2 linked regions of the Pelodiscus sinensis genome follow. The protein of the gene in region 1 interacts with the protein of each later gene in a pairwise test. Links are inferred from orthologs where the notes say so. Each region holds a gene or a part of one and is shown in the gene's direction. Other genes may lie near its edges.

The links.
Region 2: the proteins of OTX1 (region 1) and COMP interact in binary tests that used the Homo sapiens proteins (3 or more experiments, as listed by UniProt). The two-hybrid records come from large-scale screens. The link is inferred for Pelodiscus sinensis from reciprocal best matches to the Homo sapiens genes OTX1 and COMP.

Annotation. Positions count from the first base shown.
Region 1 is NC_134713.1:185,274,752-185,282,332, reverse strand, and holds the start of OTX1 (homeobox protein OTX1), read left to right. Parts: upstream 1-4,570; 5' UTR 4,571-4,707; intron 4,708-6,196; exon of another isoform or gene 6,197-6,272; intron 6,273-7,341; 5' UTR 7,342-7,474; coding exon 7,475-7,571; intron 7,572-7,581. UniProt on the Homo sapiens protein: Probably plays a role in the development of the brain and the sense organs. Can bind to the BCD target sequence (BTS): 5'-TCTAATCCC-3'.
Region 2 is NC_134729.1:19,486,323-19,493,398, forward strand, and holds the start of COMP (cartilage oligomeric matrix protein), read left to right. Parts: upstream 1-4,073; 5' UTR 4,074-4,152; coding exon 4,153-4,231; intron 4,232-6,526; coding exon 6,527-6,612; intron 6,613-7,076. UniProt on the Homo sapiens protein: Plays a role in the structural integrity of cartilage via its interaction with other extracellular matrix proteins such as the collagens and fibronectin.

The DNA of each region.
Region 1 (7,581 bases):
GCTCCAGAATGCTGTTCATATTTATTCAGTAGCTATTAAAGTCTGTTCTGCCATTGTGTGCAAACCCCCTCTCAGTTAGAGTTCCTTTTGCTTCCATTGCTCGCTCATTTTTGTGAAAACTGTTATTTATTACAATACTGAGTCATATATAAATTTTCAATAAAAGCTGAATCTTTCTTACCGTTAACTGTTGCTGTCTTCTCTTCCCAGTGTGAAAAGTTTACTTCTGATTGTTTGGGGGGAGGGGAGATGGGGAAAGGTTTATTTAATTTTTAAAATGAATTTGTAAAAAATGATTTGCAAATGCAACAGCTTCCTACCTGGCACCAGTCTAGAGGCAAAAGATACACCTTCAGATACAAAAATAGAATTTTCTTTTGGGGGTGAGGATTAAAAAGCCATGGCCTTGGTTTTATTTGTAAAACTTTTCCAGATACAAGTCTTGTTTGTCCAAGAAGGTTCCAATTTCTCTTTTTTTGGAACCTGTTCCGGTTTACATTAAGATTTTGCAAATCAGACCTCTGGTCACTGCTACTTTGTCCAAGATTTTCAGAACTGGCCACAGTGCATCGTTTTCTTCACCTTCCTTTGCAGTGGCTTGCCTTTTTATAGCTCAGCGGGCCAGATCAAAGCTCTTTGTCAACTCTCAGCGAACTGCAATTTTTTAAAAAATTGTATTTAGTGATAGAACCACCAAGCCAGACAAAAAGTTCAACTTTTGACATGGCGCAGCCGTATGCCTGTATCCGCCTGCTCAACTCATTCCAGTAGCAAACCAGCCCTCTCCCTAACAAAAGGAAGTCTGTTCGACAAATTGGGAAGACCTGAAAATAATAATGCGGCAGGTTTAGGCTTCAGAGTGCCAGCGAAGTTTTACAAGAGACTATAAATCATGCCTCAGTTAGGAAAGGACAGCCCAGCCGGCGCATACAGGAATGCTGCCGCTCAAATCTGCGCCTCCCAGGCCGGGGGAAAAGTTCGTGCGAAGTTTCTGGGACGGGACCCAGTGGCTCCGCGGGCACTTTGGGGGAGCTGGCCCCGCCACCTTCCTGCGCCATGGAGCCCCGGTGAAAATCAAATCCCCTCATCCAATCGCTGCAAAATCCAGCCAAGTGGGGCTAGGGGAGAGTCCCATCTCAGCAGCTGCTCCTGCGCCTGCCGCCGCGGCTTGGAAGAGAGACGCGGTTTTCTGACCCGTGCGGAGAGAACACACGAGATGTTACCAAATCCACCTCGTGAATAATCCGGTTAAAATGATAAAGTGCCAGTGTAAATACCGGGGCTCTGGGCATGTGCCTTCGGATCTGCCCATCATGGGAATCCCTTGCCGAGGTGGTTCATATGCTAAATGAATTAAACCTCTTATCTCCTTTCACTGGGGGATGCGAATCGGGCCCGGATCTGCCTCCTTCTCCCCCTCGCCCTTTGACTCTATCACCCCCGCCCATCACCTCCGTTTCTGGGCTGTGTTCTCTCTTGCCGGCCTGCTGGACCAGCCGCTCTTGATTTGGCCCGAGACAAGTGCGCACTTTGGGGTGGTTAATGTAGGTTAACGCGCTTTCTCGGCGCCTAAGAGTCAGAGGAGAATTGGTTAATTCGCAGCGAACAGCTGTTCGCCCTCGCAGGGCCCTGGGCTGCGGAGCAGGAGCCTGTGCCAATGACACCGGCCACGGCGGAGTCCTCGCTGCTGCCTCCGCTCTGATGAAGGGGGAATAAGTTTTGACAGCTGGCGTCCTCTGGCCTTTTCCAACTGGCCCGTTCAGGGGCTGGGCCCGGCTCGCTTTGCCTTCCCGGGCGCAGGTTTCTCTGGCCCGGGCTCCAGGGGGTGGCTCAGCCCTCGGGCTGGGGCTGTGGGCTAGCGGGGGCGCGGAAGAAGAGGGTGCATGGAACCGGGAGGGGGAGACATGCTGGGGCACGGAGCACAGAGCGAGACGCGGGCGCTCCAGGGCAGCGCTGGCCACTAAGCCAAGGGGCTGAAATGCTCCGGGGGGAGGGGTCAGAAGCAGCGTCCACCGGGCTGTTCTCCGCCAGCAGGGTCCAGCCCCAGGCTCCGGGGCCGCTGCAGGGAGCAGGGAACTTGGGGGGCTTCTCCCCGCGGCATTGCCCGGTTGTTTGGCAAACTCGCTGCAGCCAGCTGAACTCCCGCCCCTCCCCCCCCCGTCCCAGCCAGCCCAGGGGCTCCTGGGTCAATGGGGGCGAGACAGTCAAACGCCCCCTCCCCCCGAGCGCCCCAACCCCTGTAGCTTCCCACGTGCCTCGGGGTCCTGCCCAGGCGCAGCAGGTGCTGCGGGATCCCGCGCACACGCCTCCGGTGCCCGGCTGCAGCCCTGGGACCCTACCCCCCTCCCGGGGGCCGAGAGGGGCTACGGGAAGGCCGGGCCCCGCAGGCGCTTACCTGTGCGCACCCAGCGCTCCCCCTTGCAGCGCGGTCCCTGGAGATGGGTGGGGGCAGGACGGGGTACCCTGACCGCCCCCCCTGCGCCTCCGCCGCGGCTGCTGCGCCGCCGCCTCTGCGTGCAGCCCCCAGCGCGGCGCCAAACTTTTCTCTCGCGCGCTCGCTCTGCGCCGTGTGCCCCCTGCCTCCCCCTAATCCCGGGCTTTTATGGGCTGCGCATTAAGAAAATTCGCCTGCAATTTGGGATTAGACAAGTGCTCTGATTGCACGGGCAGGGGCCAGTGCTACCTGATACCTCCCCGCTCCCAGCCCCAGCCTGTGGGGCTGAGCCCCAGCGCCAGAGCCAAGCTCCAAGCGGGAGCGGGCCGGGCAGCCGAGCCCCGGCTGGCCAAGCAACCCCCTCTCCTGCACGAATAACCGGGAGCCGATTGCTGGGGAGTTGGGCGCAGCCGAGAATATGGGCTTTTTGGCGAGCCTGGCCGGGCTCCCTTTGCCCGGGCGCGCGTTGGAGAACAGCCCTTCCTGCTTAAAAATCGGCCCCCAACTCCTGGCCTACCACCCTGGGACAAAGGTTCAGGTGCCTCAGCGGGGCTTGCTCCCTGTGCCTACAAAGGCAAAGGTAGGGACCCCGGGACTGGTGTCCCCTGACAGCCCTTTACTTTTTGTGAATGGGCTGCGGCGCCTTTGTTCCCCGGAGAAGTGCCCGTGTCGCTGACTTTTGTGGACTATAGAAAGATCTTGTAAACCCTCCTTTTCTTTCGTCCCTTCTCCTCCTTCTACCTCGCCCCCCCCCCCGCTTTGATTAGATGTCCCCTCATCGCCCGAAAAAAAATGTAATTTCGTTTGGGCCGGCGGTCACTTCCTTTGAACATTAGCTCGCTTTCAGCTCCAGCTTCAATGAGAAGGAGTTGATTTTGAGAGATCAACAAAAGACCCGCACCAAAGCCTTATTAAAGGTCCTAAGAAGATCGCCTGGACCCTTTGAGAAGCAGTTAGGGAAACAGTGTGCATCCATGATATTCTGTTACCGTGTTTTATTGGGACGCCAAAGGAAAGTGTCTCGTGAAAAACACTTACTTTGATGCCCGGCCGCGTTTAATTTATTTTGCTGGCAACGAGTTGATTTTTTTTTTTGCATGTTATTATTATTACCCCCTTTTCAGATTTCCCTTTGTGTTATTGGACATTCTCCTATTAAACTACAAAAAAAAGGAGTGATTCTTAGGAAGAGATTAGGGCCCTTCGTTAATATTTATGAGACGGCGCAACTTAAACATATATATGTCGAGATCATTGTGGGGCCTGAGAGCTTGGAGAGGGAAAGCCCAAGTTTATGGTCACCCATCGCCATTCCCTTCGCTTCCTTCGTTGTGTAGGTTTCACGAGCGGCGCGCTTCAAATAAAGGTTGGGACCGATTTTCAGAACGGGCACTTGGGATGTTTCGGAAAGGGGGAAACCCGTGAAACGAAACCCATCCCAGGCCAGCACAATCCTTCTCTCCCAGCCTAGGTCCTGCCCAAACACAAACGGGAACGAAAGGGGTGATTTGCAGGGCGTTGCCGGTGGCAGACCAGCCATCCCAGCCTTCCTTCGTGACATACATTTCTGCGCACTTAGGAGCCCTGGTTCGTACCGGAGCGTACGAAAAAACGGGGGTTGCAAACTTTGGGAGAGCGAGTGGAGTCGTAGAAGAAAAAGTCAGGCTGGGGCAGGACTGGGAAACCCACTAGAAGGAACTTGCTCCACATTCCGGGCGGCCCGGCTAGGCGCTGTCGCCCCTTGGAGTTCAGGTTTGCTCGCTGCGCGCCTAGGGAGAAGCGCTGCTCAGTGCGCGCGCAAATACAACTCAGCTTCACACAGACGCGCACGGGCAGCAATTAAACGCGCAGAAAGTTCCCTGTGGGCGCCGGGCTAGGCGGAGCGTACGCTAGTCCAGCCGGGGCACTCCGGGAGCCCCTCCCCCGAGCTAGTCCCGAGTCACTTGCACCCGGGACGGGCTTTGTCCGGGCAGGACAGCACCAGGGGCTGCGCCGCCGCCTGCCCCGGGGGAGCCGGCGCGCGCGGCAGGGCTGGGGTGGAGTGGGGAGCCGGAGAGGAGGGAGGGGGCGTGCAGAGGTAACCCGCATCCTGAGCTGCCATTGGCCAAGGCGGCTGTCAGTCAGGCTGGGGGAGGCCGGGGATTGGCGCCGGGCCGGTTACGCACTTGCCTCGCGCTCACATACAAGGGTAGGGCGGTGGAAAGGTGATCAATCTTCATCAGGCTACATTTCCAATCACCTAAGCGCCCGGGCCAGACCGCTCCTGCCACAAGGTAACGCGCTGGATGCGCTGCGGGGCCGGCTCCCCCCTGCCCTGCCCCACGCGCGGCCCCGGCGCCCCGCAGAACTTAGCGCTGCCCGCAAAGAAAGTGCAAGGAGCCGCCCCCACTCACCCCCCCCCCCGGGTGGCAGCGCGGGGCAGGGGGACAGTAGGGAGCCCGTTGCAAGCGCCCGGAATCTGGCCCGTCCGCTCCTGGCCGGGGCCTTAGCGGCAGCGCCCCAGGGGTACGGGCAGGTGAGGCTCCTGGTTCCTGCGCAATCTGTCCCGGCGCTATGGGCTGCAGGAGCTTCCCCCCCCCCCCCAGCCCGGACTTTCCGGGAGCAGCAGGGGCGCCCCGGCCCGTCTGCTCTGCCTGGCCCCTTGTGCGGCTGAGCCCGGCTCGGCACCTTGGCCCCTGGTGGAGCCGGGCGAGGCGCTCCGGGCTGCCCGCGTGTCCCCGCCAGACTTTGCAACTCCCCGGCCAAGTTCCGCTCCCTGGTAGCGCAGCTGGCGGGTCCCGCGCGGGGGTTGGCGAAGCCCTGCCCGGGGGTGCTGGTGGGTGTGGGACTCCTGGATTGTGTCTTAGCCGAATGTGCGGCGCCGTTCTCTCCCCGCCTCCTCCCCCTGCCTGGGAGGGTGCCGCTGTGGGGCTGGCAAAGAAACTTACATAATGGGGCCAAATCACTCCAGGCCCGGCCAGGCTCCTCTCCAGGAGCCGCTCAGAGGGAAGCAGGGCTTGGCCTGGCCTGGGGGAACCTGCTGCCTTCGATGCGCCACCGCCAAGCCACGGATCCTCTTTGGAGCCCTCTCTCCCGGCCTGGGGCGCTTCTGTGTCCATGGCGCTCTCTGGGACTAGAGGCGCGGGCGCCGATGCTGGTCGGGAGTCTCTGGGAGGATAAATCGGCCTCCACAGCACCCCTTGGCCTGGGAGGTTAGGACGCTTTGCAATGGACTCGGTACTTTCGGGAAATCCGCAGGAAAGTGCACACAGGCCTGTGGAAACCTCCTGCGTGCGTGTCCGCTCACTCCAAACTGCGAGCTAAACCGGACGCGCTTAATTTCCACCCAGACCCTAAAACCGAAACCCATTTACACTAGAGGGGATCCCAGCTGTCCAGTGCAACAGGTGATCCTGGGAGCTGGAACTACGGGTGCGGGGGGTGCCGTGTTTTCCATCTCATGCAGAGTTTACAGTTGGGTGCATTGGCGCTCAGCATATTACCCCCCCCCACACACACACACACACACACACTATACACATTGCTCCAGCACCCCTGGAGGATGTAAATTAATTTGGAAATGGCCTTAACGGCGAAAACAAACAAACAAACCCCTCCTCCCCCCTTTTTTAAATCTTTCTGGTGCAAATACAGGAAACTCAGCTGGAGACAACATGGCCCTGCACCCAATTAAAGTTTGTAGCAAGTGATTACTTGTGATTAGAGCCGCCACCATCTGTTGCAGGAATTCAGATTTTATTTTATTTGGTTGGTCTCTTCTAGTTTTTCTCGTGGCGGACACTGAGGGTGCTTAGGTGTCTGTGGCCTGCGGAGAGAGATTTCAGGAGCTGGGATCAAGGTTGTGGATTTTTACCTGGAAATTTTTACTTGGCTCTGAGGGGGGGAAATAGATACATTCCAGTTCCGCGGTCCCGCTTGTAAATTCTTTGCTGTTGGAGAACAGCAAGACAAACTGAATTGGCAGGAAACCGTGAGGCGACGGGTTTGAGTTGGCACTTCTCAAAGCCGGGTAAGGTCACCCAGCTAGGCAGAGCAATTCCCCCTTTTATTTATCCCTAGTGAGAGGACGTGAAAACTTCCTCCGTCACCCACACGCACCCCTTGTGCAAATTTGTTTATCACCCCTACGGGAGGAAACCCCTGGAATATGAATTTCAAAGTGCTTCTAAATCTGTTTGGGTTTTTTTAACTGCTACCCATTTCTAATTAAAATGTCCCCTTCTGCTCTCTCTTAAATTAATTATACGTCCCTCTTTTGATAGCTCGTTTTGATTTCTAATCCAATTATCTTTTTAAATAATTGCTTTATCTCCCCCCATCACTTGTACTGTGCCCTCCTCCAAGCCCCCACGGCGATTGTATGCTAATATGGCTCTGCTCTTTAAAAAAAAAACTCACTTCTCGTACTTTTTTTATTTCACTATGTTTGGGGGGGTGTCGGCCATATTGACTGTTCCCCCCGCACACCCTTCTCTAGACGCGCAACAACTTTCGAACAATAATACTGACCACGAAAAGGAGCGAAACTTTCGATTTTATTTGTACTGCGTGGGGTTTTGTTTTGGTTGTTTTGTTGGGTGGGTTGGTTGGTTGTTTTTTGGCGAAGAGAGAAATACAACTCCCTTTGCAACGAACAGGAGTCTGTGCTCTTGTGTCTTTTTGCAATCCACCTCCCCCCCCCCCCGCAAAAAAACCGATTTAATTTAATAGACGCACAAATAGGTAAAACTTCCCTGCGCTTTCGATTCATTTTAATGTGATCGGCGCCGCTCTTCTCTCGCGAATTCAAACTCCGAATCCCAGCGGTGTGTAGCGCGCCCTGCGAAGTCACCGGGTTTTGTCGATTCCGCTCCGAAGAGCTTCTGATGTTTGTCTTTTGTTCCGTGTGTATTTTGTTTTTCTTTTAGGGAGCGAGGAGACTGTTCTGCACCCGGATTTTCTGCCCTCGCCTGGAAGAACCCGTTTTGTGACTTCAAGACGTTTTAAGACTTTTTGTTTTGTTTTTGTGATCAATCGGGGAAAATCTTTCCAGCTTTTAGCATGATGTCTTACCTCAAACAGCCCCCCTATGGCATGAATGGGCTGGGGCTGACCGGACCTGCCATGGACTTACTGCACCCCTCCGTGGGTTACCCGGGTGAGCATCA
Region 2 (7,076 bases), on another chromosome or scaffold:
TTACACAGAGCTGGCCCTAGAACAGTAACACGGTTTTATCTATATTTAATAGGGTTTGGCGCTTCAGTTTTGAAACCCTTCCAGTGTCGTTATTCTGCATTGGATTGATTCCCCCACTGTCAATAGCGATAGAGATTCTCATCTCATCACTGAGTTTCCCTGCATTCTGGGAGGGATCTGCTGCGTTTGTATCAATTGGGACCTGACAAGATCCTCGTATGTTGCAGTATTCACCATGGACTTCGCTGGAGTGACCTGCGATTTAGGGTGATGTCACTGAGGCTACGTCTAGACTGAAGGCTTCTTTCGGAAGAAGCTTTTCCGGACGAGATCTTCCAGAGAAACTTCTTTCGTAAGAGAGCGTCCACACAGCAAAAGCGCATCGAAAAAGCAATCTGCTTTCTCGAAAGAGAGCGTCCACATTGATTGGACGCTATCTCGCATTTAAGCTGTGTTTACAATGGATGGAGTGGCCACTAGGGCACCTGTGCTTTTTTCTGGAAACTTCTTCTTTCGAAACCCCCTCCTCTTTCCCATCCCTACGTGCCTTTTTCCGAAAGAGGTCTTTTGGAAAAAGGCTTCTTCCCCGTAGAAAGAGGTTTACTACAGTCAGAAAAACCCCTGCAGTCTCAACTTTCTGTCGAAAGAATGCAATCGCAGTACGGACATAAGTGTCGTATTTCCGGAAAAACAGCCATTTTCCCGGAAAAGCTCTAGAGTGTAGACATACCCCGAAAAGTGAAGCAGGCCCAGATTTCAAACATGGCACCTAAGAAAATGCATTTCAGGGGACTGTTCCATGCTTGCGGCATTGGAGAGAGACCCATCTTCTGTAGCCTGCTGAAGAAGTCTGTATTCTATGTATATAGTTAAAAATACATGGGTGTGGGTGGATGGGGAGGGCTTTGGCTTTGTTCTGTCGAATTAGTAACAGTTTGGCATACACCAATATGCACTAGGAATGAGGCCTACAAGGGATTGGTGGTGGGATAGCTTAGCGGTTCCCCCCCCCGCCCGGATTTCCAATTCCAACCTAGACCAGGTGGGGGGACTGAAAGTTGCCGACATCTGATGTGCACAGAACAAACATGGAGTGGGGAAAATGCCTGTTTCTAAAACGCCCAGCAGGCAGTGGAGGGTGGTCATAGGGTGTTAATCTGAGGCTGAGGATACTGAATGGGCGATGGAGACGGCCCTTTCCTTCCAGCCTCCAAATCTAGATCCTCTACCCCACCCTGCCGGCAGGGGGTTGGCGTGCAGTGAAAACGCTCTCCTGCCTCTCATAGCCCGACACCCCAGCCTTTCCGGCTCTACGTCTGTGGCATCCCAGCACCATGCTGAGTCCACAGAACAATCTCTTCTCTCGCTCCTCCGCGGGGGGGAGTTAAAACGAACCAATCTCAGTGGGTGTGAGGGATAGGAGTGCCGGCCTCCTACAGGGCTAACCTCAGGTAGCTAGGGGTGTTGTTGACAGGGAACCAGCACCACCAATGGGCTACAGTGCTGAAATTTAAATTGTAAACATATTCCTGCGCCCGTTTGCTCTGTCGGGAGAGTTAAGCCAGGAGGGGAGAGACACAGGATGGTTTAAACCCAGCCAGGACTACCATGCCTCCCAGGAATTCGCGGCATGGGAGTAGACTGACCAAGGAAGGGGAAAATGTGTATCTAGGCCCCTGAGGGGGGGAGCTCAAATGATGCCCCCATGTCGCCTCGCTTGGGCCAAAACTTTGAAAGGTCTCAGTTCTCTGGGTCCTAGTGGCGTCTCCTTCCAGTCTGGCGCCTGAAGCGGCCGCCTCAGTTCACCTCATGGTAAGGCCAGCCCTGATCGAGTGCCAATCAGGGAATTTTTCTTTATTTTGGGTCGTTTGGTTTAAACTTCTCTGTGGGAATCTAGGCCTCCCTCTCCCAGTCACCATTTAAATCACTGCCCAAAAGACAATGGTTCTTTGTGTTTTGATTTGTTCTTTCCTGGCTGCTCCGTAACATCTAGCAACCCAGTACACTTTATAGCATGTATCTCGTTCGTTTTGTTAGTCGACATCACTGTCGTAAGGTGACGATTTGACTGTTGTGTCCTGGAAAGTAACGCAGGTCTGTGCAGGGCCGACTTATCCATTAGGCACAGTGCCTAGGGCCCACGATACTTTTAGGGGCCCACAAAAATGTTTGAATTTCTTTTAAAATCAGAAGCAAAGAAAATGAACTTTTAGGGTGGAAGAAAATGTTTTAATTTTTTTCCTCACATCAGAGAAAAATGAAACTTTTAGGGCCCACGACAATCTATTACATTTTGCCTACAACAGAAAAAAATAAAATGTTGAAGTATTTAAAGTTATATCAAAAATAATTTTTAATATTTTTTTTTATGGAGGAAGGAGTCACGAAGGCAAAAGTGCCTAGAGCCCATGAAAGTCATAATGCGGCCCTGGGTCTGTGTGTGTGTGTTTGCCGGCCTGTGACTAGGTGCTTAACTACCAGAGACAGCAACTTGTTTTTCTCTTTTCTTTTTTTTCAAGCTTTTTTGGGGCAAAAGAGCTTGGTCAAGTGTTCCCCTCCCCCCCCCCCCCCAAAAAAAATTTTTTTTCAGGGTAAATCACTTGATGGTGGCAGCTTTTGTTTTCGTTGTTCTCAGAGCCTGGGCATCTGAGAGTCTAGGACTACATCTAAGACCACAAGCCTCTTTCGAAAGACAGCGTCTAGACTGCAACCACTAAAGTGAGCACCCAGGCAGTCTGGATGCTCTCTTCTGAAAAAGCCCTGTTTGCGTTCAAGAACACCTTTTTTCAAAAGAGCACTTTTGAAAAACAGGCATTCTTCCTTGTGAAATGAGGTTTACCGTGGCCGATAAACCTGCCGCATTCTTTCGATTTACTGTCGACAGAACGCGGCGGCAGTCTAGAGGCAGGGGAAGTTTTTTCGAAAAAATCCTGTAGTCTAGACCCACCCTGGGAGTTTTTAGAAGCGGAGCCTAGAGCACGACTACTCAACACGCCGCCCCCGGGTGGGATCCTTTGAACACGGCCTCCACTGGGAACACGCTCTACAATGGCAAAGTGTCTCCCAGATGGGGTGAGCATTGAAAGACACAAGCGGACGGGCTGGCTGGAACAGACAGATACAGGGTGTCGGCATTTCTAGCCCCCAGGAAGGAGGTGCCGGGAGCGCCTGGGCATTGCGTGAAATAATTCATTTGCATATATTTGCACGTATATGCAACCACACTTAAGTTGCGGCCCTCGGCACGTCCTGTGAGCATCACTGTGGCTTCCGGGGTTTCCAAAGTTGAGTAGCCCTGACTTAGAGGCAAAGGCACTTAAAGTCATGGTGGGACCCCACCTCTGCATGCCGAGTGTCAAAGTGGGGACCAGCCCTGACCAGGTGCGTTCTGCTAAATTCTCTACCTCGCTTAGACGCGGAAGGTTCCACGCTGGGTGAATTAAAAGTTCCCAGCCTCCGCTGATTGCTTCCTTAGTATTAGGCTCGTGTGTCCGATGGGATAGGAGGTAAAGGAGGAAATGAGGGGAGGGATGTCCTAGATTTGCTAGTGGGGGGTCCCACATGTTCTCTATTCTAGCCCCATGGAAAGTGACTGAACGGGAGAAGCAAGGGACAGTTTTGTCCTCTTGGCTGTCAGAGGATGGGATATTTCTGCTGCTCAGCCCCAGTGGCAGCACTGTCTTCTGGAAGTCCCAGAGCCCTGGATGAAACTCTCGTTAAGCCCACATTCACCGTCAGCTGATGCGCTCTTATGAGCGATGCAAGGAGGAAAATGCCACTGGAGCCAGGGTGATAAATTCCACCCCCCGAAACAAAAAAGTCATTGAACCAAAAGGGAATCCATTTACCTCTGGAATTTTCTGACCTTTTTGTGGTGCAAGCTGATGTGGGTTTTTTTTAAATAAAACACTGTAAGTTGCTCTTCTGATGACTTTTTCATATTGTTTACTTTTGTAACCCTTCCCTGTGGACTGGGAGCCAGAAATGACGTCCACCCCTCGTCCAGCATCAGAGAATAAGAACTTCAGAGGAAGGAATGCAACTTCAGAAAGAGCAAGCCACAGACGCTAATGGGGAGCAGAGGCAAAGCTGCAGGTTAACAAGTTCTTTGCAAGAGAAGCCCAGACACCCTCCCTGCTCTTGGATCCAAGCATGGTTTCGGCTCGAGCCTTCGTTTTCCTCCTAAGCCTCTGGTGTCCCTTTGCATCAAGTCAGATGACGAGTACAGGAGGTAAGTGGGTTTTAATCACTTCTATGTGCGCGGCCCTTCTCTGCAAACACTGCGGGAAGCGAGAAAGCAGCTGCCAGGTAAAGAACACCTGGTGATACCTGGTCGATTTTTACCCGTTGGAGTGTCATACAAAATCTTGAGCCAACAGGTTTAAACATTCGAGTTCTAGGCTGTTTTTCCCCTCTGTTTATCGATGTTTTGACAAATTAGCCTCTTCCTACGGCAGCAGAAAGGCCCCCATTTTTTGTTATTTTGCAAACAGAACGTGCCCTTGGCAAAGCGTCTTTGTTTTGCAAATGATGAAATTAAAGCCCTTTTGGCTGTAGGGTGTGCTCTGGCCGCTACCTGGGATTTCTGTGCGCCCTGAATTCACACACAGCTCAGAGGAAAACTAGCCCCCTAGGCTAGGAAGTCAACCCCTTGTTTTCAGAGCAGTGCCTCGTTTTTGTCACTTCCTGCCTCCGACGAAAGGAGTTGCAACTCACGAAGGTTTGTGCCAGAATAAAATTGTTAGTGATTCAGGTGGCACCCGGATCCTCCTTGTTCCCTGGCAGTATGTCGGGGGTTTTGCTCAGCGCCTGATGAATCCCTGACTCCCACATCCAGCAACCTGAGACCTAAAAGACCAAGTTCCACAGGGCACAATGTGTTGATGGAAAGCATGAGGGAGGGGAAGAGTAGGGCCTGCCACACACAGGGATTAGCTGGGATTGCTTAGAGTGAGAGTAAAATAATTAAAGACCCACACAGAGACCTAGCTGCCCAGATGTGATTGCCCCAGGCAATCTTGTGTGTTCACTTAAAAACAGCATCCTGCTCTTAGGGACAGACAAACCCTTTTGGATACAATCGGAGGATCTGACCTTACCCAGCAGCTAGAACTCGCATGGAAAATAGTGATAGAGATGTAGCCGTGTTAGTCTGGTGTAGCTGAAACAAAAGACAAGACTACGTAGCACTTTAAAGACTAACAAGATGGTTTATTAGGGGATGAGCTTTCCTGGGCCAGACCCACTTCCTCAGATCAATATGTGGAAGAAAATCAGCACAACCATATGTACCAACGTGATACAATCAAAAAAATGAACGCATGTGAAATTGACAAATCAAATTTTAGAACAGAGTGGGGGTGAAGGGGGAAGGTTAGTTTCTCTGAGGTAATGACCTGGGGAAGTTTCTGTGAAGTAATGACATAGGGGTGATAATTGGGGTAGCTATCTTTGTAAAGGAAAATGTTTGTGAGGTTGAAAAACGTCTGACTACACGCTCTGGATAAAGGGGGATCAGGGGGCTTCATTTGGTATTTGACTTCGTGTTTGGAGGTTAGTTCCTAGACCTAAGCATGCTATAGGGCAGGAGTGAGGGAACCGTATCTGGGTCACTGATATGGCCTCCGACTGAGAAGCAGAAAGACACCAGTGTCTAGGCAGGCCCAGGGTTGTAGATTCTGTGAGGGAGCGGCCGAGAGGGTTCCCCAATGTTGGGGTGAGAGTCCTGAGCCTCGAGGGCTGGATCCAGGTGAGCTGGGGGGGGGGGGGCGCATCTGGCAGTCCTTACGGGGGGTTAAAACGAAGGCCTTGAATGTCATGGCAATCTCGAGGGGGATCTGGCGAGAAAGAAAGCCTTTTTCGACAGATCCTTTATACCTCCTGTGAGGTGGTTTACAGGATCTGTCATAAAAAGGCTTTCTTTCTCGCCAGATCCCCCTCTAGACTGCCGCCGTTTGCCGACAAAGTGCCGAGTCGGCAAAACGTGGTGGCCATTTTTATGCAAATGAGGCCCGGGATATTTAAATCCCTGCCTCCTTTGCAATGTCGACCTGCCTAATCTGCATCCCTCTGCCAACAGAGGGACGCAGTCTAGACACCCAGCTCGGTCGGTGCCCATTCACGGCCTTCGGGCCGGCTGAGGTCTGGGGCTGCCCCTCATCCTGCGCTATACACTGACTTCTGTCCTACTGCCCTGTCAGCAGCAGCCCCCTCCTGGATGCAACCAGCACCAACTTACCACGCCAGCCTGCCTCCCTGCCACATTACCAACGCCTCCCTCTTGAGGGGGGACTGGCGAGGAAGCTCTGGCGCTCTAGTCTGACTCAGGGCCGCTGGAGTCCTGTCACCTTCCTCCTGGAGCATGCAACTCCTCGTTCCTCCCAACAGCTGCCTCCTCGCCACACGCTGGGGAGGGGAGCCGCTGCTAGAGGTCGTGACGATCTGGAGAGGCGGAACCGGGCAGTACAACACCGAGGCGAGCAGACTGTTTGGCAGGCTCCGCCCCTGACGCTCCTGTTTTCTCTAGGCAGGGATGTGGAGCGCCAGATGCTTGCGGAGATGAGAGAAACCAACCTGGCGCTGAAGGAAGTCACCGATTTGCTGAAGCAGCAGGTACGTGAGAACACGGCCTGGTTGCCTCTCGCCCGCTGCCAGAGGGACCCACGAGGCCGCTGCCTTGCACGCAGGCCTGTTGAATAGGGGGATTAAAATGGACACGCTCATCCCGTGGGAAGAGCCTCAGGTGATAGAATCATAGAGCTGGAAGAGACCTCAGAAGGTCAAGTCCAGCCCCCTGCTCTAGGCAGGACCAATCCCAACTAAATCAACCCGGCCAGGGCTTTGTCAAGCCGAGAATTAAACACCTCTAGGGACGGAGATTCCATCATCTCCCTAGGGAACCCATCCCAGTGCTTCTTGCCCTCCTAGGGAAATAGTTTTTCCTAATGTCCAACCTAGACCTACCACACTGCAACTTGAGCCCATTGCTCCTTGTTCTGCATCTGTCACCACTGAGAACAGCCTCTCTCCATCCTCTTTGGAACCTCCCTTCAGGAAGTTGAAGGCTGCTCTCAAAT